7 linked regions of the Tribolium castaneum genome follow. The protein of the gene in region 2 binds, or shares a complex with, the protein of the main gene of each other region. Links are inferred from orthologs where the notes say so. Each region holds a gene or a part of one and is shown on either strand. Other genes may lie near its edges. The genes, in order: SNRPG, U5 small nuclear ribonucleoprotein 40 kDa protein, U6 snRNA-associated Sm-like protein LSm5, Sf3b2, holn1, RING-type E3 ubiquitin-protein ligase PPIL2 and LSm7.

Region 1 (2,213 bases), on a different chromosome or scaffold from region 2:
ACTAATTAAAGCGAAATCTTATAGGGCAATACATTTCAGCGTGTTCCTTTGACCTAGTCAAGGGTGGTTGCTTTAAGACTGTTCCTCAAAAAACTCATTTTCCAAGGAAATGACATTAAAATCGAGTGGGTGTTAATTTCGATCCGGATGTTTTCCCGGAAAAACTGTCAATGGGGGCAATACCTGACGCTGATTGTGATGTGGCTCTGGAAAACTCGTCACTACACGAAAATTTTCACTGGAACGTCGCCGCCGAGACGCTTTAATGCCAAACTAGCGAACGTTTCCAATATTTTCCCGACGGTGGAACAGTGGCGGCGCGCATGCGACATTCTCTAAGCTTTTCATACACTGTTACGGACAAACCGCTCGAGGAAAACAATACGAATTGAATTTCTTTGTGAATGAACGCACAAAAGCGACGACGATAATGCTTTCCCTCCTATTACCCTAATTCACTTATTTCCACCCTACCCCAAGCCCAATAAAAGAAAACTCGGTCAGAATCGAACGCTTTTATTACAAATAATTATCGATTAAGCCAAAATTACAAACTAAATCCTATCTAGAGCCTCCAACATGACGATACTGTTTCCCCGGATCACCTGTAATAAACATAACCTCAAATTTCAAATCCACACTAATTCAAAAGAAACGTACCACCATCCCTATATTGTTTTTCTTGCCATCCCGGCACTCTTCCACACTCTCGTCCACCACTAGATTCATAAAAGGGTCGAAACCGCGCAAAATACCAACGACTTGTCGGCCCCCATTCAACTTCAAACACAATTTTTTGTCCATAAATCTGCAAAAAAACTAGTAATACGTTCTACGACAAAACAAGACTCACTTTTTCAATTCCGGAGGATGTGCTTTCGACATTTTGTGTACTTTTTTGAGTTTTTAAAATTTAAAACGCTCTTCAAACGCTTGACACAAACTGACAGATTTGACAGTTGCTAAGTACAGGGCATGATCAGTTGTCCCAATTTTTTCACATTTTTAACGTATAGTTAATGCAAAAAATTAAACAAAACAAGTCATTGGTTTTGGTGATAACTGTAATCAGAAATCGGTAAGTGTTGCGTTGAAATAAGGCAATTGTTGTTTTGGTGATCGTGTCCTGATTGGTGTGGGCAACGTTTGGCGTCGAAAATCCCTCTGTGCTAGTGACATTTCGGTGCATCTTCGGTTTGACGTTACTTTTTTATCAACAAATTTGTTGGAATAACCGCTGGAAAAAGGTTCAGTAAAGGTAAAAGCAGTACCAGTACCGCCAGATGTTAACATTTGCTCCTCCGTTCCCTCTAGTAGTGCTCCTTCTAGCCACTACTCTTTACGCCTTTTCTAGTCTAGTATCGCCCCCATGGAAGAGGCCGAAGTGACACCGCCCCCGCCGCCGTCGCTGAAAAGCCCGTCGGCGTCGAACGAGGGAGACTGGACGTGTCCGGACTGCGGTAACGTAAATTTCGCCCGCCGTAACAACTGTAACCGTTGTTACAAAAGTCGGGGGCCGGTGTCGGCGAAAAAGCGCAAATTGGGGCACGAGATCGGTAAAGCGGCGGCAGAGAAAAGTCGCGGGTTGTTTAGTGCCGACGATTGGCAGTGTAACAAATGCGGTAACGTGAATTGGGCGCGGAGGCAGCAGTGTAACGTTTGTAACGCCCCCAAGTTTGGGGAGGTGGAGGAGAGGACGGGGTTCGGTGGGGGGTATAACGACAGGGGGGTGGTCGAGTATAAGGAGCACGAGTCTGACGACGAATATGACGAGTTCGGGAGGAGGAAAAAGAAGAAAAGTGAGGAGGTGAAGGAGATGAAAAATAGTGTAGATAAGGTGGAGAAGAAGGTTGAGGAGGAAGAAGAGGAGGAGCAGGAGGAGGACGAGGAGGAGGATGACGACGACGGAGACTTATCGAAATATGATCTGTCGGATTGGGGGGATTCAGGGGAATCGAATAGTAAACAAAATAACTCAAGATCTAAGTCGAGGTCACGGTCTCCACAACACGAAAAAAAAAAGTCATTAGTCGAGTCGAAATTTTTATAGACATTTAGGTGAATAAATCTGCTTTGTATGGTGGTAAATTCGAGTTAGGTATACACAATAAACCATTACTTTTATTGGTGCCTGATTTACATTCTTCTTCACCTGAAAATCGAATAGATTCTAGCACCAAGTGACTAACGAAATTTGTTAGTTTTTGTAGTTG
Region 2 (3,968 bases):
TAGTTGCATCACACTCTCCGTAGGCACGGAAGTAAATATTTTAAGTAAAAATTAATTAAAATGAGTTATAAAAACAGGATATACATATTCTGGAAGAAACGTACGTAAATATTTGCAAATGTTTAGGCAATTTTTTTGGCATGCAATCAGTGTTTTAAGTTTTTTCTGTAATATCGTCTAAGAGGAAGAAATCATTAATCAATGTCGGTCTGTTAACAAAATTCTACGTTTAAAAAAGGCACAGATAACATAATTTTCCAACAAATTTGGGATTTTCGATTAATGATTTTTAGTGTCATTTTAAGAGTTTTTTTACAAACTGATTTATTTTAGAGTTTAAATGAGTTCAAAAATTGAGCAAAATAAACCAAAGTCAAGTCAATTTTTAGTTAATTTAAGGATTTTCACGGTGTTTTTTCACGAAAAAAAGTGCTAAAATATTAAATAAACATCTGAAAATAGACAAATAACATTATTTTTAACACGATTTAACAACCTTTTGGATTGTTTTGCCAAAATTACACAAAAAACATTAGTATCTAGTATCTAATTTTGATCAAGTTTGCTGATTTTTAAGTTTCTTCTGACAGAATTTAAGAAAATATGTAGTTTTTAAGTCGAAACTTTACTGAATCAAACAAAGCAGACTATAATAACGACTATAATTTGGAAGATATCATTCTTATCAATCTATTTTAGTAAAATTACGCAAAAAAGATGTTTGTAGTTTGAAAATGAGCCTAAACTCCGGGGGTTCCTCCTAAACTTAGGAGATGAAACAAGATATAAAATTACAGGAGTTTCTAATCCCAAAAAATTAGTACGACACACTAAAAATGATGGCGCAATAATGCAACAGTCTTATGGGGTTGTACCTCAAATATTTGCCAAGAGAAACTTAATTGTGTTTCAGTGTTGCAAATTACTAACAAAAATCTGTTAGTACCGGGAAAATACTGACAATTTTAGAGCAAAAAAGTAATAAGAATTACGCAAAGTGAGTTAAGTGAGCTAATATTAATCGTTTTCGAAATTTTGGCAAGTAAAAAACCAAATAATTTTTAGATATCGACATTGGGAAACCATTTCATTGTTGTCAAACATTTATTCCAAAGGAGATAACTATTTGTTTTATATAATTGAAACAGGGTATACAATCAAATCGTACTTCGTGCTCTCCACCAGAGGGCGCTTATCGCTTCGTTTTGTTGACGCTAAAAAGTGAGGTTATTGTTTTCCTCCCAATTTTTGTTTAAAACACCAAAAATGGTTGTTGAGAAACGTCGAGCCGAAGATTCATCATCTCTAGTCCCCGTAAGCAAAAAATCGAAAAATGAAGTGGCCACATCGAACAAAAACAAATCGGTCTTACAAGCGGTTAGTAACACTTAACCTCAAAAACCCTCCTCAAATCATGTATTTCAGGCCCCTGCGAGAACTTCCAATCTATTTGCCCCCATTATGTTACTGGAGGGCCACGAGGGTGAGATTTTCACAGTGGAATTCCACCCTGAGGGTCAATATGTAGCTTCATCAGGTTTCGACCGTAGAATTTGTAAGTTGTTTTTTTTGCAATGAGGTTCAGCCAAATAGGTCTTCATATCAAAATTTTGGAGGATTTACTTGAATATCTAATATAGTAATTTGAAGTACATAGAGGGTGTCTTAAAATTAACGCCCGTGCGTTGGGAATTTGATTCAGGGGGTTAACATAATTCGAAAGTTAAGAGTAAAAAATTTTCAATTGTTATTGATAAAAATGTAAATAATAAGCTTAAAGCTGTTTTTCCAATTGTTTGTGCAACATAATTCATCAGTTGATGTTAGCAGGGCTGAGCCATGCCAATTGGCCGCCTGTGTGCAGGTTCCAATAGTAGTTAAAAATTACCAAGTTAAATAAATGGAAGCAAATGTTCATTTTTAAAATATTCTGAACTAGTTTATTTATTCAAAAATAAAACTATTTGTAACAAGAATATTTTTAAATTTTGTACAGGTACATTAGCTGTTAAAAATAATTTGATAACTACAGTTCATTCTTTTTTATAATTAACTGTCAGTGTCAAAATTTTGATAAAGACCAGACTGTATCACACCAAAATCTCATGTCTAATCACTTTCGAAACTAGCTGTATTCTGTATTTGACATTTTACACACCAGATTTGACATTCGGGACAATTTTTGCAGCCAATGAAATTTGAATTCGTTAGTCTTTAGAATTTGTTAGCCTTTTAAAAAAATGTGTTGTGCGTGTTGTAACTTAAAGACCATTAAATTAAATTTGCCAGGTAAAAATTAGTACCATCTTAGTAAAAATTACTATTTATGGTAATACTAACCTGACGGCTCTTTGACAGTTGATTATAAAAAAAATCGACTATATGTATACACGAATTGTTATTGCTTTGTTTTATCAGGGGTGCATGTTTTTTATTTTTGTTTTTTAACTAATATGAAAACAACCTAAAAACAAAAAAATAAGGAAAAACAAACAATCGTTCTTATAAAATAAAGCCAAAACAGAAAAATAAAGCCCTTGTGTAAAATTATTCATAACTTTTTTACCTCTTTCATTTTTTTATTCTTTTTGTTTTTTGATTTTTTGCTCCATTTGTTTGAATTTTATTATACAGCGTGCTCAAAAACTGGCGCACCAACTCATTGGTGTGTGGTAGAGAACTGGTTACATATAAAGGTAAAAATAGTAAAAAATTCTTTGTATTAAAGTTATTGATAAATAACGGATTTTGGATAAATGATATGTGGCAACGTTGTCTAACAGTCATGATCGCAACAGAAGTTGAGCAAGAATAAAAATAAATTATTTTTGAAACGGTTTCCTAGGAAATAATTGCCAGTGTTGGCACATTTACACATTGCGATTTTTTGGATGAATTTTAATTTTTTTAAATTAAAAAAACTGCTAAAATCTGATAGTAAATTTGAAAATAATTATTCATCGTTTTGTTACGGAACGATTACTTGGTATGAAACATAAATACATAAAAAAAATAATGAAAACTAAAGAAGTTAACACAATAAGTTTGTAGCTCCAGATTTTTCAAAATATGACTTTAGGAATTTTTTAAACATTTTTCCCGTAATCTGCACTTGCTTCTCAATAATGTACCACTGAGTTGGTGCGCCAGTTTTTGAGCACCCTATATTTATCAGAAATATGAAGGAGTGTAGTACTAAAATAGTAAACAAAAAAGTTGGTGGCTATTTAAAATGTTATTTTAACATGTCTTTTCTCAATAACTGGATGTCAAAGACTAGCGTTTCTAAAAATAAAATTGATTTGTGTATTGAAAAAAATAAGCCATAACTAAGATATAAATTTTATGTGTTATATTAAGTTTACTCTGTAGAATAATTGGACAGAAAATTTTATGGTTTCATTCTAGAATTTTTTAATTTTCTAGTCCGTATAAATGACTACTATTTAGTCATTTGCTAAGTAAAATGTTGACATTGCGTGGTAAAATAATCTAAATGCTGAGTGGTAATTATTTATCTATTTTTAGCGATATTTGGCCAACCAGTTTTGCAAGTTATTTGTGCGTTAGGTATTTTACAGGGTTCAATTTTTGTATTAAAGCCCTCAACTTCGTTTCGAGCTTCAATATTAAAACTTCACGCTGTAAAATTTTACCTACTACAGGTAAATTGTAAATAACTATTACTAGAAAGGCTATCATTCCCTAAATTTATGCGTGTAAGTTAAGACTCACCCTATATACGTCTGAACTTATATTCATTTAGGGATCTTCTCCAAAAAGGTTTCTAACTTTATTCAGAAGGAACATATGAGGATGTAAATAAAGAAAATTATCAATTATAGTTTTTCGAAAAATTTTATTTTTTTATAATAAAGGCAATACCAAATTCAAAAACGTCTTCCGCATTCAATTCAACAGAAAATTTTATGATTTTATTCTGTTTTTTTAAGTTGTACAATCATTTC
Region 3 (2,347 bases), on a different chromosome or scaffold from region 2:
GTAAATAACTTGTCTTTTATCTAAAAATGCCCATTTCAACGGCATATCCTGTCGTTTGCATGTCTTTTGGTTGCTTTCCTCCTGTGTACCTGTAATATGCTGAAAGTAAAAATGTGGAAATCCACTTGACATTTTCTTAATAGCTTTCAGGGAAATGGAGATGAGTTTACTTTCTTTCGCCACAAATATTGGAATACATTAGAACTAACGTGAACTTTATAAAAATCTGTGGAAACAAACACTTTGTGTGAGGAACGTTGGGAAAAATAGAATATGATTAATACAAATTCGTTCAGGAATTTCCTGGCCACATTCCTTGTTAGCGGTATATCCAAAGAATGTTTATTATTCCCATAGGTATATCGGTCGTGTCTAATCACAATTTCATTATAATAATCCACATAATGATAATGTCAACCACAGTGGTCAAGTTATCATAATAGAATATTGTTTGCTGCAAGTAGCATTTTAATGTGTTTATTTAAACAGCATGGACAGGGCAACTGAACTCTTCCAAGATAACTGTAACACGAATATAAATAAAAGAAAAACTCCTGAGAAATAAAAATAGCTAAGCATTCACATTCTGCTACAATTACCATTTATTCCCCGATATAAATTATACGCTCTCGAGCTGTCGTGTTATAAAAATAGAGCGTTATAAATCATATTAAAGAGGAATAAATCAATGTGTAGGGGTATAAAGCTCTTAGAGAACGTAAATATAGGCTAAACCAAAATAACACCATTGTTTCAATTAACTGGAGTATACTGACCTTTTATTACAAATTGATGATTTTAAATTCCAAAATTTACTCCACGAACATTATTGTCACGATTTTAGACACAAGTTCACTTAAAAATACGATTATTTATTACAAAAAACACAAAACCTACAACTACAACACACTCAACTCCCACCTCGGTCGGCATTTGACGAAAACGACAAACGACTGAAATACCGAAGAAAGCCGCAAAGCGCATGACCTGTTACACTGCAAGAGCTCCAAGCTCGCACATACGCGCTCCAAAAGAAATAAAAAATAAAAACAATTCATGCATTCCACGCCGTAAAAATGTAACCATAAGGCGGTAAAGTCTTAACAAACGTGTGCCACTACTTTTTGTAATTGTCTTAAGCCGTATTTTGATCGTTTATTAAATTGTTCGGTTCCGTAACGTAAGTCCTAGCTTGAGCTTTTTGCTGTAGTTGCGACACTAGCGCCATTAAGCTCCTGTCAAAATCCTTTTTACTGTCAAATTGATTACTTTTTGCTGTTTGTAAATGTAAACAGTTGTTTCAAATATTTATTGCTAATTTAAGAATTTATAATTATTTGAACGTATTATTAAACGGTCAGAATGACTTCCATGCCTGTGTCTTCTTCCACCTTGCTTCCGTTAGGTGAGTAAAGCAAAAAAACGTAACGTGTTTTTTTGGTTATCTGCCGGTGTTTGAGCATTCAATAATAATCATTAATTTATTAACGTTGTTTTTGCTATTGTAGAACTTGTGGATAAGTGTATAGGGTCAAGGATCCATATTATTATGAAAAATGATAAGGAAATCGTGGGGACGTTATTAGGCTTTGATGATTTTGTCAATATGTTACTGGAGGATGTAACGGAATATGAAACAACGCCTGAAGGAAGGAGAATTACTAAATTGGACCAAATTCTGCTTAATGGGAACAATATAACAATGGTACTTTATTTTGTGCTTCGTTTTTATGTTTAATATGCCATACTGTATCTAATTAATTCTTGAAACTAATTCAAAATTTTAGCTTGTTCCAGGTGGAGAGATGCCAGAGTAAGTCATTTGAATAAAGTATAAAATAAGGGCATTTTTGTGTTTGTTTAATACCCTTTTTTGTATCATAAAAAGCTCTTATTTTTGATGAAAACAACACTGTACATTTAAGGAGAGATGTGTTTGTGTCAAATTTGTCCTAACTGGGCCTTTTAACACAAAAAAATAAGTTGTTCAGAACATTACTTTGTAATCGCGGGTTAGGCAACCACCTTATCTTGTTGTATAATGTGTTGCCAACTACTCCAGGCCTTTACAATGAAAAAAGGAATGGAACGACGTTAGAAAATAACTAAAAGTCGTAAAAACGGTTCGTTCCAGTGAATTTTGCGGCTCATTTTACCATATATCAGCTTTTTACGCAATTTAGAACCCACTGGAGTTGCTAAAAGTCCATATGTTCGATTTTTTTTATCCAATTTTTTGTCTCGATTTCCGGTACCCGGAACATTTATATAGGTTTGGACCAAAATAGTTCCATAATTTGAAGAGAGCCGGCCAGCAGCATTTTTTTTTCACTAAAAAAAGTCGTAA
Region 4 (4,259 bases), on a different chromosome or scaffold from region 2:
AGCTCGCCCCAGAGGGTGCGATCCACGGAAGGGTCCTCACCAATGTCCTAAACATTGATATTTGAACAAAATTCAATAAAACAATATTATAAAATACTTACATCTATGTTGGTAACATTTGTTCCAAACACATCACCGTACAATGGTTTTCCATTTTCGTCCACCGGTGGTTTTCCCCACCCACCGGCATGGTACCCAAAGGCACAACCATCAGGGATGGGGGCATTTAATCCCGGAATTTTCAAGTTGGGGTAGCTGGGTGGGGGACCATAACGTTGCATTGCAATCAACCATGGTGGGGGTACTTTATTAGCGTTAGGGCCCACAGGCATTCCTAAGGCCGTTCTTAATTCTTCTGATAAATCTCCAGGCTTTTTTTCCTTCAATCTGGTTTCAAACTCTTTGCCCTCGTAATAAAGGTCCCCATGGATGGTCATTTTGGGTTTAGTTTGCCACCTAACAATAACAATGAGATTATAAAAAAAATTCTAAATAAACAGCTGTCTATCTTTTTCAATTATTCCCAATCTCTACGAATACACAATTACAAACAATAGCAATTTTAGCTTTTATCAAAAATAAAAAAAACGTACTTGAAAAATGCGTCGTGTAATTTTTGATAATCAATATCGATTTTTCCAAGTTTGGGTCTGGTCTTTTCCCGCATTTTAGCTTTGAGTGTTTTGGATTCATCCTTATCTTGCAATGACGCACGCATTTCCATGATTCCAGTCCTTTTAATGAAATCTGGAAGATTAAAAGGTGGTTTCTCTATACCACGTTTACCTTGCAAGTACTTTCGTTTGAAACACCAATGACGTGGTACCTGAAAAACACATTATTCAGCCAATTGCTAACTCCGCATATATTTTCATCTGCTTTATTATTATGAAAAATCTGTTAAGTTTGTTCCAAAACATCACTTTTTAATAAAAAATTCAAATCCTTGCTTCTTATGCGTTCAGTAAAATGTTTAGTTTGGAACAAAGTTCGTCTAAAGAAAATAATAATTAATAATGCTACAGAATTCTATATGTGCGCAAAATTAAGAGTTTTCAAATTGGAAGTAGTGACGAAAATTATTTTTCCAAAGCTTACGACTTAATTCTATTCTTAATAATAATTTAATAAAAGGTATTCTCTTTTTTTATTAATTGTTAGTAGTTCCTGAATTTTGTTAACATTTTCGTGTTATAATAAAATTGTTACAAAGCATAATTTTTTGTGTCCCATCCGTAACTAATTATTTATAACAACTTTTAGAAGTGGCAAAATGAATTTAAATTGTTAATCCATCTTTTTTTTTTAATAAGCCATTTTTAAAATAATAGTTATGTGCCGTCCGTAATCATGGAATGGCTGCATTACTTTTAATTTTTGAGAAAATTATAATCGTTACCTGAACGGTATTTCTGTGAGCTTTCAATTGGACCAACAATTTTGGGTCCCTGGCTGTTACATCGTGCATTTCTACAACGTCTGGTCTACTGACTAGTTGTTTAAGCTCGGCGACGCTAAGTCGCGTCAATTTTTTAAGCTTTCTTTTGGACATTTTTGACTTATCGTCAAGCTTTTTCTGAAAAAAAAATAGATACATATTTTTTATTCATAATGTAATACAACACTTACGTCGTCCCCATCTTCCATTTCTTCCTGAAAGTGATCTCCTATGCTATTTAACATTGATTTACTTGACAATGATGTTGGCGTTGCCAGAACTGGGGGTGGGATATCATGCTTTTGATCAGTTATTTTAAACACGTCAAAAATGCTATAAAACTGCCGGTATTGTGGAGCCAGTTCAAGAAGACTAATCGTCTCTTGGACGTACCTTTAATTAAACTCATAACAATTTTGTCAAACAAATAGAAAAAACACCTACTCAACTTCCACATCTGTATTCCCATCCTCTTGCCCATCCTTTTTCTCCTCCTCTTCAGCCGCTTTATTCTGTTCATTCTCCCTGTTTTTCTTGTTCTTCTTCCTTTTCTTCTTCTTTTTATTCTTACTGATTTTGGTGGTCTCTTTCACCTGACTCTCTTCTTCATTTTCAACCACGGGTTCCTAAAAAAACAATCGTTATAACTATATTCATACAAAAAATTAAAAAAGCTACAATATTGTCATCTTTCTCCCAAAGCGCCTCTCTAGGAGTCTGCGGCTGTTGAACTACTGTTTCCGTTTCTTCTCGTTCTAGTTCACGCGCTCTCTGATTTTTTAACGCCAACACCTCTTCCAACACTTGAGGTAAAACAACTTCAGTTGGTGGCGTCTCCATCATCTGATCAGGAGGATCCACTTTTAGGGATAGCAATGAGGGGAGTTGTTTTTCACCACCAACACCTGAAATAGTCCAATGCGATATAAACAAACTGGTTGAAAACAATCAATTACCATGTTCACCAGCCCACCCTTGCATACCTGACCCAAACATCCCTTCCTGGTGGGGCACAGGGTGCTCCGGGACACCCTCTTGTAGCTGATCCGGATTCATTTGTCAGTAGAATCAGTGCTTGTTGCAGCCGTAAGCTGAAAGGAGACGGGATTATGGAATTGTTCTAACACTAAAAAGCACTTTTCTCAATTTGATATAACCTCTTTCTCATACTAATTTCTTAAAAAATGTTTGAATCAAAGCAAGAAGCGAACTTACTATAACAGATAGTCTGTTAAATTTTATCTACAATGAGGAAAAACCGCAAACTTTTAATATTATTAATAATTTATTGCGGCATTCAGCAACGTTTCGGTCGACATTTTTGTTTGGAATTAGAGCGAATGCGACCGTAATCGCGACAGCTCGATTTCCTGCAAAAGCGAAAACATTTCCCAAAATTTTCATACAGAATAAATCAAATGTAGTAGTTATTTATCCAGTTAGTTACAACTTTCTCTATTAACATCTTGTAAATACAATAATTTATAAATATTTAATCAATTTATTTTTCAAACAAGATGCCAATCTAATTTGGACCAATCACGCATCTCAATCTCAAATGTCAGATTCAAAAAAACGGTTTTGTTGTCGGTTTGTCATTTGTGTGCCTTGTTTACTGTAAAGTTACTATAAAAAGCGAATAATTGGATTTAACACAACGTTAAAGGTAAAAACCGAGTTTTTTTGATACGAAAATTACATAAAAATTGTTTTATAGCTTGCATTAAAATGTCAGTGAGGTCCAGCAGACGTTTAAATAAAAAACTAAATCCACCTGAAATGGAAAGCACCAGTGGCCCCTTAAGCAGTGCCAAAGCAACAAGAAGTGGACGAAAAGTCAGAAAAACGAACGATTTGCTTTTCTTCAGTTTTAATGCTTCTGCAGTGGAAAAAGAAGACGAAAATATTAAGCCAACGTCGTCAAAGCATAATAAACAGAATTTGCCTCGTTTGGAGTTCGATGAGAGCGGGAAAAGTGACAAAGGAAGCCCTTTTTTGTTCAAGGAAGTTCAAAAAATCTCGCCGCCACCTGTACCAAAAAATAAAAGAAAAATCGTCAAAGCTAAGAGAGTTCTTAGGAGTACCAAGCAATGTGAACTGGAAGACAAGTGCAATGATGAGACATTAGATCTCACTACAAAAAGTTTGAAGGAGAAATCTTCCGAAAATTCTGTAAATCTTGTGAGTGATGGTGAGGGAAGTTCACGTTTCATCACAGTCACGGAGAAAATGGCTCAAGATGGACACGTGAAAAAAGAAAATAAACATGGCAAGACACCAAAGGTCAAAAGACAGAGTGGGAAAGGAGAGTTTTCTTCGTTTAGAGACATTGAAGATTTTAAATCTCTTGAAGAACCGTCAGAAAATTGCAAGAGCGTAAATTTGAGCCCTTTAAATGAAGATGAGGGAAGTTCAAGCTACATTGAAGTCAACGAGAAGAGTACACAAGATGGACGTATTACAGAGAAAAATAGTCCTAGCAATGGTACTTTCCCCAATTTTGTTGCTTCAAGCAAGACACCAAAGACCAAAAAACAGAATTTGTCTTCTTTGGAAGCGGACGAAAGTGGGAAAGGAAAGTTTTCTTCGTTTAGGGAAATTGAAGATTCAAAATCTTTTGAAAATTGCAAGTCTGTAAACTTGAGTCCTGTGAATGAAGATGAGGGAAGTTCAAGCTACATTGAAGTGCAGGAAAAGACTACTACAGAGAAGATCAGTCCTACCATTGATTTGCCCAAATTTAATTTTGTTGCTTCAACGGCGAAAAAAGAAAAAAAATCTGAAACATCAAAGGACAAAAAACAAAATGTGCCTGTCATTG
Region 5 (2,750 bases), on a different chromosome or scaffold from region 2:
CTTCCATAATCCTTTGGGGATGTATGGAGGAGTGATGTACAGTGGATTTTCCATAATGATTGGGGGGATGGAACCGTGGACTTTCAAACATGGCGATCCCGATTACAAGAGACTCAAACCGGCCAAAGACTGTACACCTATCGATTATCCGAAGCCTGACGGTAAAATCAGCTTCGATCTCCTCTCTTCCGTTGCGCTGACTGGGACCAATCATGAAGGTGACCAACCCCCGCATCTAACCCTGAAGGACGATACCGTTCCTGTTAAGCAAAATTTGGGCATTTATGACGGGCCTGAAGGCCGGTTTTGTCCAGCAGGAGTGTACGAATTCGTCCCGCTTGAAAGTGGGGACGGTCAAAGGCTGCAAATCAACGCCCAGAACTGTATACATTGCAAAACTTGCGATATTAAAGACCCGAGTCAGAACATCAACTGGGTGGTTCCCGAAGGAGGTGGCGGCCCGGCTTACAACGGAATGTAATTAAGTGCCTTTAAGCAAATTGCTTGACTTTTTATGTATATTGATAATAAAATTTTTATAACACTGTTAGTCATACAGCTCGAAGTCTATCCGGTTCGAGGTGTAAAAGTTGGATTGTTCGCCACACTTACGCACCCACACTCCCGTCTTGAAGTACCCTTCTTTGGACCACTTTAACATTTGTGAGGTGTCGTACGGACCCTCGACTTGGTCCTTGTCTTGGTCCCACTTAAATTCCCACATTAACTGCTCTGGTTTACCTGACACTGACGCCGTCTCCATCTTCTCCTTCTCCTTGTCGCCGAAGTCGTCAGCATACATGTCCAGAACAGGCTCACTGTTTTTCGGTTTCGTTCGGTCGTCAATTTTTTTGGTAATTTCTTCAAAAGTCTCCTGGTATACGTTCATGTTCCCCGTCTTCGTTAATATACTATTCGCGATCTCGGTCATGTCCGCCACATCCTGATTCGAATTCAAAGTCCCTGCCTTCTTGCGCTTCAGTCTCTCGACACTGGACAACTTCAAATCGCCCCCTAACCGCCTCAAACACTTGTTGACCGTTTCTTTGGGTTTCATGTAGTTGAGCATCTTTTTGTACAAACCGACCTCATCGAAATCCTCAGCTTCCGACTCAGAATCACTCTCGGCCCCCAAGCCTTTCTCGTTGGGGTCCAACTGGTACTTATCGTCACTGTTGACTTTATGCCAGTCGATGTTGTCCAACCAATTATCCCGTATTTCCTTCTCGTTGTTCCAAATAAAGTGGCCCTCTTTGTCGAAATGCCCTTCTTCCATCTCCTCTTTCATGTTGAAGGCGGTCATCCGGACCCCTTCAACCTGACGCGAAATTCCCTCCTCTTCGCCCTCGATGTCGTCGGCGTTGAGCTCTTCAGCGGTCTCATCGTAATCGTCCTCTTCGTCCGAATCCAAGGAATGTTTTTTTGCGTTAAACTTCACCTGGCGCCGCTTATTTTGCGAAAAATCGCCTTCGTTGAATTTTCGTTTTGACATTTTTGACAAATGCAAAACAAACAACACGCATGCTCTCAAAACCGATCTGCACTTTTGGTTTGTATCCACGGTTAAATTTTTTAATATTTGTTTTTTTTGGAAATAATCATAATCAGCTTTTTTTACCGCAAATTTTTCACCACGCTTATTACTAAAACATAAACAACTCAAAAATATATTGTAAAAAACCCAAAAAGTTAAGAAAAACTGTAAAATTGAAATGGTATGTTTGGCAACTATCCAAGAGATGGCACAAGCTACTTTAAAATTTGTTTATACTGTGTGTTTCAAAAAAGATGTCCTCCAAATACGTGCAAATACGAATTTCTCTTATGCTCTCATTACTTATTAGCAGTCGCATATTTACATAAGGAGAAAATGGGCTATAGCCCAGAACGACAGAATTTTAGAATTTTTTTGTTACAAGCTTTATTTTTTAAATAAATTGCAAACTAAAGGTTCTGATTTTTTATGGTTGAAATAATGAGTTTTAAGATGTTTTTAATAGTTTCAAATTATATTATATTAAATTCACAATAAGTAAACAGAGAACAAGCCTGAGTACCTAATGCAAATATCTACAGAAAAAGTTTTTAAGTCAGCGACAACGTACACGTACAACTAATATTGTAGAAAAAAGTGCAAAATAGCTACGCTTTTTTTTTTAAAACTTCATAAATAAATACAGGCTGATTTTTTAACATATCTCAGAATATAAATGAGAACATTTAATACCTAGTACATGTTTGGTGACATTACTAAGAATTGTTTCAGGTTTTCCCATGTGATTTTCAGAATTATCTTGCATTTTTAGAGAATTTGTGCTAGAACTGAATTTGCTATTTGATTGACTGATTAAAAAAAGTTCAGATATTAAAAAAAATTAATTAATTTTGTATTTTAAGTTTATTAAGTTACACCTAATGCAAGATTGTAGAGCCATAAATACTACAAGCGCGTCAATTAATAATACAGTGAAACTTAGTTACAACGAACACCTAAGTGACTTCCGAATTTGTTTGTTGTAACCGATCGTTCGTTTTAACATATGGAGTAATTTTCAAGATAAATGAGTTCTAAAGTTTAAGATAGATATACGTTATGAAATAAAGTATGATTATATTTTATTAAAAGCTATATAATTACATGAGTTCATAGTTATACATATGTATACCTATAACAAATATTTTATTTATTTAATGATTTGTGTTTGTACTTAACACCTTAGCTGTTTTTAAGGTATGTTTCACTTTTGAAA
Region 6 (4,073 bases), on a different chromosome or scaffold from region 2:
CGTTTTTAATCCAACAAGAATTTTAAAAATAAATGCGATTCATTGTTTTACTTGTTGCGATTACGATTAAGAGAAATTGACCCACCTGGGTTGCAGTCGGTGAGTAGGGAGCAGATAGATAAGAGGACCTTGGAGATGGTGAGGGCGGGCGACCAGTTGTCTTTCAAAATATCCAAACAGATGACGCCCTGACTGTTGATATTGCAGTGGTAGATCCTCGTCCTGAACGTGACTTTAGGTGGCTTGAAGGGGTACTCTGGCGAGAAGTGGATGTCCAGGAAGAAGACGCCGCCCTCGTAGACGGACCCCGGGGGGCCCAGGATCGTGGACACCCACTCGTAGAAGTTCTCCCCTTTGGGGCCCGCACTGCAGTTCGGCGGCGGGTCTAACGTGATTTCTGCTAGTTCTTTTTGGATTCTTTTCGCTGATGTGCCCAAGGCCTTTGACATTTTCTGGTTAGGCTTTGATTCTTTTGTTTCCTTTTGATCACCGACTGCTGCTTGACCGCCTCGACCACGGCCTGATCCGCTAGACCCAGCTGAAGACATCGAGCTAAACAAAACAAAAAATCACCTCTTTGTTCCTCCCGGCGCTCGCCGGGGGCTGACGGGCGACCGTGCGAGAGAGTCACCTCAAGCAACAATGGGGTTCAATGTCTGATTGCGATCGCCGGGACAGGTAACCGATTATTGCGACCCTTCTCAAAACCAAAATTGATTCCTGTCAGCTAAGTCGGCCATTTTGATTTCAAGCATTACACAAGCCGTAAATTTCCATTAAATTGGGAAAAACGGGACGGAATTCAATAATTATCGATTAAAACACAACGCCGAACCCGAAATTACTGTAATTTCGATACGATATCGCTTTTATTGGGCGATATTTACGGCACAAGTTGACGATTTTTTTCAGCGCCTACTCGGCTAATACGCGCATAAACGGCCCTAATCGAGTTTCAGGAACGTGAAACTGGCATTGAACGGGAAATTTCAGCAGCAATTACACTTACTTGTATTAATTTTTGCACTAAAAACTGAAAACAATTCACTCCCTTTTTGCTAATATCGGCTCATGGCGTACTCGCTGAGCACTCAGGCCTGCCACCATACTACCGGAAATATGCAAAAACTGCACAGCCCAAAAACCTGAATTTCGATTATTTGCAACAAAACCGCCCTGTGCCACACCCCCAGGGCGTCGGTCGCCAACACCTCGCCGAAAATTACCAAAAAATTGCGGATTATTTTTTAAAAAATTCAAAATCCTTTGCACCCATCTAGGGGCATGAAGAGTGCGCGTGTTGTCTACCTGTTGTTGTGACAGCGAGCTAACCTCAAAGTCGTGTGATTTATATTTTTTAATTTTACCTCTTTACAAGTTACAGCAAAATGGGGAAGCGCCAGCACCAGAAAGACAAAATGTAGACCTGTCCAAAATCAGTTTCAAGTGCGTAATTAACGCAATTTTGTTTAAGGTACTTGACGTACACAGAGTGGACCACTCTTTACGGGGGCAAAAAATCGGGTTATACGACCGCGGAGGAGGACTATTTTAAGCGGCTCCCGTTTGACCACTGCTGCCTGTCGTTGCAACCGTGGGAAATACCCTACTGTGACTTGGACGGCAATATTTTTGATTTGGAGCCTTTGCTCCCCTTTTTGAAGAAGTTCAAGATAAACCCAGTCACGGGAAAGCCTCTGGATTTCAAGTCGTTGGTGCAGTTGAATTTCCACAAAAATGAAGAAGGCGAGTTTGAGTGCCCCGTCCTTTACAAACAATTCACCAAAAGCTCCCACATTGTGGCGATTGCCACCACTGGAAACGTGTACTTGATGGAAGCAGTGGAACAGCTTAATATTAAGAACAAAAACTGGAAGGACTTAATCAGTGATACGCCCTTCGAACGCAAGGATATCATCATGTTACAGGACCCACTAGACTTAAATAAGTTCAACATTTCCAACTTCCACCACGTCAAAAACAATTTACGAATCGAAACCGAGGAGGAAATCAAGGAGAAGAACGACCCTCAAGGCCACTTGAAAAACGTGAACCCTGAAACAAAATACACCCTTGAGGAGCTAAAACGGGACTACAAAGAGCCAACAATTGAAATAAACAAAGTCGAAGTTAAGGAAAAGGCGGACAAGTTCAACGCTGCCCATTATTCAACGGGGGCTGTGGCTGCGAGTTTCACCTCAACAGCGATGGTCCCCCGATTGGTGCACGAAGCCGCAGTGAAGCACGAAGATGAGGTGCGATACGACAGAGTCAAGAAAAAAGGCTATGTGAGGTTAATCACGAACTTGGGGCCCCTCAACTTGGAGATTTACTGCGACGAAGTGCCACGTGCTTCGGAGAATTTTATCAGGCATTGTGCGAGTGGCTATTACAACGGGACGAAATTTCACAGATCTATTCGGAATTTTATGGTAGGGACCCATCATGGGGGCTAAAACTAACGAAATGTAGGTTCAAGGGGGCGACCCGACGGGGACAGGGACTGGGGGCGAATCCATTTGGGGGAAGAAATTCGTTGATGAATTCAGGCCCAATTTGCAACATGTGGGGCGAGGGGTCTTGTCTATGGCCAACAGTGGGAAAAACACAAATGGGTCACAGTTGTATGTTTTACGCAGCCTTTGACTTTGAAGTTAAGTTGGCAACAATGGCAACAGTCAAATGTTAACTTTAATAGTCAATTGTCGTTTGAAATGTCAAAGTGACAAAAAAACTCATTTATGTCATAACTAGGGAGGACTATAAGTTAGGAGATGAAATCGCAGGATTTTCTGAACCTAAAAAATAGTACGGTGGACTAAAAATGAGGGCGCTTTGAGCGTTATACTGTCTCGGCGCCAAATCGTTTTAAATTAATTTAAATTCAACCAATGTTGAGCTTTGCACCCTTAAGTCTGAGAAAAACTGACGACTAAAATGTTTGTGATTTTTTTTTAAATCTGCGCTTTGTCTCGTATTTTTCAAGACGCTGCAAATACGGTTGAAGATACAAAAAAAGTGTAAGGAACAAAATTGTAGAGAATTAAATTTTTTACAAAAAAGTCCACGACACCATATTTCTATTTTAAACGGTTTGGTTATAAACTAACTTTTCAATACTTGACCACTGGCAAAATGAAGCAAATTCGTCGCTTGAGCGTCTTTGGGCGATTTTGGGGCCTAAATGGTTGAAGATAGGGATATAGTCCCGCGGACTTTTTTGTAGGAAATTTAATTGTCTACAATTATCTTTCTAACATTTTTCTTGCATCTGTAACCGTATTTGCAGAGTTGTCAAAAATATGAGTCAGAGTGCAAGTTGGTAAAAGTTTTTATTTTAATATAGTTTAAGATAAAATTTTTGCATTACGTTTATGTCCTACTATTGCGAATTTAATGCTCTATCTGCCTGTATTTTTTTGTTTGTCATGTGTTAACCGTTATGCAAACACAACCATTTTTTCAAATTCATTGCACTGAAAATTTAGACGGTAATGGAACATCTGCGCTCTCTGGCGACATTAACGGAACTATCGAATACAGGAACGTTTTATTTGTATGTCGTTTCATATCCTAACTTGTTTATATCCGTAGCCATAACTTTATTTTTTACAAAAAAAATGAGTAAATTTTCCCCATACTTTTTCCAAACTTTTAATGATTTAATGAATACACAAACTGAAGTATTTTTCATGATATAACGGGAAATGCCAACGTCCAGTTTTGCCAACTTAATTTCAAACTCAGCCACTGAGCAATAATCAAAAATTTAATTGTTTTTTTTTTTAGTTTCATAACATACAGGTCGTGCAAGCACTTGAATAATAAGCACACGATTTTTGGTCGTTTAGTTGGTGGCATGGAGACTTTAAACGAAATGGAAAAAATTGAAGTGGACAATAAGGATAAGCCCATTGAGGATATTGTGCTTATAAGGGCGCAAGTTTTTGTGAATCCATTTGAAGAGGCGGACGAACAAGTGATTGTCTTATTCTGTTGTAATGTGTTATTTTTGGTCAATTTTTAGTTGGCGAAAGAACGCGAAGAGGAATTGAAAAGACAGAAGGAGGAAG
Region 7 (2,545 bases), about 10 Mb from region 2:
ACCACTTCCACTTCGTACGAATTGCCTTTCGATTTCTGGAAACCTTGAAATTTGGAGCCGTTGTATAAGAGGGACTTTGTTACCCCCGGCTGTTTTGAATTGGCCGGCGGGGGAGGCGTAATATCCACCCTGACCGGCATTTTTAAAGCACTTTTGCACTCAACTGTCACCAATGTCACTTTTTTGAAAGGAAAATGGCGGCGGTGAGTCATCCGAGTCGGTCAGAGCGTTTTTGCGCATGCTCGGTGCGCAACAGGGCCATTAAATGTGTGGGCGACTGTACTCAACCGTAGTTTTGGACAGAAAAACCCATTTTTGCAATCAACTGAATCAACCCAGATTTATTATTTGGGGCAATTATTCGTTAATCTCAAGCGTAATTAACACGTTTTTTGTGTGTACGCTTTAATTACTTTTGGTTATAAGCATTGGTGGTTGCTTACGCTCATTATAACTAAACTTCTAATTAATTTATTGAGCTAGTTTGTGCAATAAAACAGTTTTATTAATTTTTTACCGGTTTTATTCAAAAAAACGTCTTACAAATTAGAGGTATTTTTATGGTACAAAACTTAGTCTTGGGATATAAAGGGGTTCTGTATGGACTCCATGCCGTCCATGGGGCATATGAGCACGACACTTGTGCCCCTACAGACCACCAAACCCAAGGCCCTCGTGTCTTCTGTTAATTTATAAGGGTCGTCTGGATCTCTCAAGTATTCGATTGTGTTGTCTAAGACGAGGTTCAAAAGGGGGTCATAGCCTTTTAAAATACCACTAGCTTCTCGGCCGCCCGCAAATTTCACCCTAATTGTCTTTTCAAGGTATTTAGAGAGGTCTAGAATCGACTCTTTACGTTTCTTCTCTTTTTGGTCACCGCTCTGATTCTACGGTAAAAATGGGGGTTGAGGGGGCGAAATGGGGCAGTTTGGGGTACGTACTTTTGATTTGTCACCTGACGATGCCATTGTTCGGCTTTATTTGTGGAATTTTGCCGATTTTGAAATTCTAACCTAGAATACGTTTGGAGGTGACGCGTGCATATGGTCTCCTATGCGCACGGAACCTTCCGATTAATTTTGAAATAAAAAAAAATAATTATCGGTTTGTAAAGTCCAGCAATTTCGTAATTAATTTTCTTAGCTTCTAAAGAATTACGTAAAAATTGACGCAATTTTGGGACACAATTTGTAGAGGACTGCTTGCGCAGTGGAGGTACAAAGTTTCAAATGAAAAATGCAAAATTCTCGGTTATCATTTATTCAAAAAAAGTTATTTACACATTGGGGCGTTACTAAAGCATTAATACATGTTAACTATTTGGGCTTCAAGCCCTGGCAAAATGTACAGTATGGCAGAAAATTGTTTGTACTGTTGGTCACGAAAGTTGTGTCAGAGTACTAGAACGTGCTCTTCGACTCCAAGACCGCACAAATAAATCGCTTTTCCCTCCTCTAACGTACATCCAATTTCCAATAACGTACACGGCGAACAATCAAACTGATAAACACTGAAAAAGTTAATTAGTTTTTTTTTCCTACCAAACGTGTGACCGACTTACGCAATTGTTAAATTTTCGTGTAGAAACAAATCGTCGTTACTTCTAACGACGTGATTAACAAGTGAGGGGTTTATCGAAGGATTGATTTCCATTAACGTACAGTTTTTAATTAGGTGTTCTTTGACGGTGCTATTGCATTTAATTTTTCTAATTGTACCGTTTTTATCCGAAGTGAGGAGATTTAAACTTAATTGAGCGGCTTGTGCGCGTACTAGTTTCGTCAAAACGTAAATTGTGATAACTCCAGATAGGAAAATATCACAGGTGAAAATACGATGGACGTAACATATTGAACTATTCAAAAATTCTTTAGTAATTAAACACCTAACACCAGTACTGGTGAAAGCACACTGTAAACAGTTGCACTTATTGTTCAGTGTTGGTATTTCGTGGTGGTTGGGGACCCATTCTAGTGACTTTGGGTGCTTGATTTTTGAGAGTTGCGGGTGTTGCGTGAACAGGTCGTAGACGTCCTTAAAATTAATGCATTTGTTTTTATTAAGTTATTATAATTTTACTTAAAAAGTTATAACCCGCTATTTACATAAGACAAGGACAGAGCTATAGGAGTTCCGATAGGAAAGAGTGAGAGAGAAAGGGCGAACTATTTTTCGTAATACGAACTTGGGCGCGTTATAACTAATTAATTAGTTAAATACCTGGTTAACTCCAGTGAAAAAACTGGTCTTGAAGAACCTCGTAATGGGATGCGTGTATAAATAGGGCCACAGACTGTTCCAAAAAGCCGAGTCTCGATTAATAAAATCCTCGAAGAATTTTTGCCGATTTTCACTTTTGGGCAGCGTTTCGTGCGTCCAGCCTGGCGCGAAAATCGCCATTGATAAGTTGTGTCTCCTTATCATCTGGGCGGCCTTGAAACAGTTGAATTGACCGCCTCCGAAGGTATTGCGACCGAAGACATCCACCCCCACGTAAACGTCCAAAGTCCGATGCTTTGCAAATTCAATCGAATTGTGGATATTT

What was found.
Region 1: U5 small nuclear ribonucleoprotein 40 kDa protein (region 2) and SNRPG share a complex: the UniProt entries of both Homo sapiens proteins name them as parts of the U4/U6-U5 tri-snRNP complex. The link is inferred for Tribolium castaneum from reciprocal best matches to the Homo sapiens genes SNRNP40 and SNRPG.
Region 3: U5 small nuclear ribonucleoprotein 40 kDa protein (region 2) and U6 snRNA-associated Sm-like protein LSm5 share a complex: the UniProt entries of both Homo sapiens proteins name them as parts of the U4/U6-U5 tri-snRNP complex. The link is inferred for Tribolium castaneum from reciprocal best matches to the Homo sapiens genes SNRNP40 and LSM5.
Region 4: U5 small nuclear ribonucleoprotein 40 kDa protein (region 2) and Sf3b2 share a complex: the UniProt entries of both Homo sapiens proteins name them as parts of the minor spliceosome. The link is inferred for Tribolium castaneum from reciprocal best matches to the Homo sapiens genes SNRNP40 and SF3B2.
Region 5: U5 small nuclear ribonucleoprotein 40 kDa protein (region 2) and holn1 share a complex: the UniProt entries of both Homo sapiens proteins name them as parts of the U5 snRNP complex. The link is inferred for Tribolium castaneum from reciprocal best matches to the Homo sapiens genes SNRNP40 and CD2BP2.
Region 6: U5 small nuclear ribonucleoprotein 40 kDa protein (region 2) and RING-type E3 ubiquitin-protein ligase PPIL2 share a complex: the UniProt entries of both Homo sapiens proteins name them as parts of the minor spliceosome. The link is inferred for Tribolium castaneum from reciprocal best matches to the Homo sapiens genes SNRNP40 and PPIL2.
Region 7: U5 small nuclear ribonucleoprotein 40 kDa protein (region 2) and LSm7 share a complex: the UniProt entries of both Homo sapiens proteins name them as parts of the U4/U6-U5 tri-snRNP complex. The link is inferred for Tribolium castaneum from reciprocal best matches to the Homo sapiens genes SNRNP40 and LSM7.

Annotation. Positions count from the first base shown.
Region 1 is NC_087395.1:18,416,593-18,418,805, reverse strand, and holds SNRPG (probable small nuclear ribonucleoprotein G), read right to left. Parts: upstream 1,014-2,213; 5' UTR 886-1,013; coding exon 854-885; intron 809-853; coding exon 661-808; intron 606-660; coding exon 555-605; 3' UTR 501-554; downstream 1-500. Other genes in the region: zinc finger Ran-binding domain-containing protein 2, read left to right, coding at 1,370-2,050. UniProt on the Homo sapiens protein: Plays a role in pre-mRNA splicing as a core component of the spliceosomal U1, U2, U4 and U5 small nuclear ribonucleoproteins (snRNPs), the building blocks of the spliceosome.
Region 2 is NC_087399.1:11,299,474-11,303,441, reverse strand, and holds the start of U5 small nuclear ribonucleoprotein 40 kDa protein, read left to right. Parts: upstream 1-1,168; 5' UTR 1,169-1,266; coding exon 1,267-1,377; intron 1,378-1,425; coding exon 1,426-1,555; intron 1,556-3,968. UniProt on the Homo sapiens protein: Required for pre-mRNA splicing as component of the activated spliceosome. Component of the U5 small nuclear ribonucleoprotein (snRNP) complex and the U4/U6-U5 tri-snRNP complex, building blocks of the spliceosome.
Region 3 is NC_087394.1:33,640,770-33,643,116, reverse strand, and holds U6 snRNA-associated Sm-like protein LSm5, read left to right. Parts: upstream 1-1,225; 5' UTR 1,226-1,362; coding exon 1,363-1,405; intron 1,406-1,508; coding exon 1,509-1,705; intron 1,706-1,787; coding exon 1,788-1,817; 3' UTR 1,818-1,847; downstream 1,848-2,347. UniProt on the Homo sapiens protein: Plays a role in pre-mRNA splicing as component of the U4/U6-U5 tri-snRNP complex that is involved in spliceosome assembly, and as component of the precatalytic spliceosome (spliceosome B complex).
Region 4 is NC_087396.1:14,198,314-14,202,572, forward strand, and holds the start of Sf3b2 (splicing factor 3B subunit 2), read right to left. Parts: upstream 2,801-4,259; 5' UTR 2,654-2,800; intron 2,530-2,653; 5' UTR 2,495-2,529; coding exon 2,395-2,494; intron 2,344-2,394; coding exon 2,117-2,343; intron 2,065-2,116; coding exon 1,883-2,064; intron 1,832-1,882; coding exon 1,630-1,831; intron 1,577-1,629; coding exon 1,400-1,576; intron 827-1,399; coding exon 594-826; intron 457-593; coding exon 102-456; intron 48-101; coding exon 1-47. Other genes in the region: uncharacterized protein LOC103313715, read left to right, coding at 3,167-4,259. UniProt on the Homo sapiens protein: Component of the 17S U2 SnRNP complex of the spliceosome, a large ribonucleoprotein complex that removes introns from transcribed pre-mRNAs.
Region 5 is NC_087402.1:7,512,643-7,515,392, forward strand, and holds holn1 (CD2 antigen cytoplasmic tail-binding protein 2 homolog), read right to left. Parts: upstream 1,531-2,750; 5' UTR 1,493-1,530; coding exon 548-1,492; 3' UTR 501-547; downstream 1-500. Other genes in the region: Etf-QO (electron transfer flavoprotein-ubiquinone oxidoreductase, mitochondrial), read left to right, coding at 1-481. UniProt on the Homo sapiens protein: Involved in pre-mRNA splicing as component of the U5 snRNP complex that is involved in spliceosome assembly.
Region 6 is NC_087395.1:15,994,907-15,998,979, forward strand, and holds the start of RING-type E3 ubiquitin-protein ligase PPIL2, read left to right. Parts: upstream 1-1,273; 5' UTR 1,274-1,388; coding exon 1,389-1,420; intron 1,421-1,474; coding exon 1,475-2,432; intron 2,433-2,472; coding exon 2,473-2,624; intron 2,625-3,789; coding exon 3,790-3,979; intron 3,980-4,027; coding exon 4,028-4,073. Other genes in the region: Ubc2 (ubiquitin-conjugating enzyme E2-24 kDa), read right to left, coding at 86-548. UniProt on the Homo sapiens protein: Has a ubiquitin-protein ligase activity acting as an E3 ubiquitin protein ligase or as an ubiquitin-ubiquitin ligase promoting elongation of ubiquitin chains on substrates.
Region 7 is NC_087399.1:1,125,679-1,128,223, forward strand, and holds LSm7 (U6 snRNA-associated Sm-like protein LSm7), read right to left. Parts: upstream 1,102-2,545; 5' UTR 969-1,101; coding exon 942-968; intron 888-941; coding exon 573-887; 3' UTR 501-572; downstream 1-500. Other genes in the region: glucose-induced degradation protein 4 homolog, read right to left, coding at 1-140; ENGase (cytosolic endo-beta-N-acetylglucosaminidase), read right to left, coding at 1,393-1,510, 1,562-2,034, 2,221-2,545. UniProt on the Homo sapiens protein: Plays a role in pre-mRNA splicing as component of the U4/U6-U5 tri-snRNP complex that is involved in spliceosome assembly, and as component of the precatalytic spliceosome (spliceosome B complex).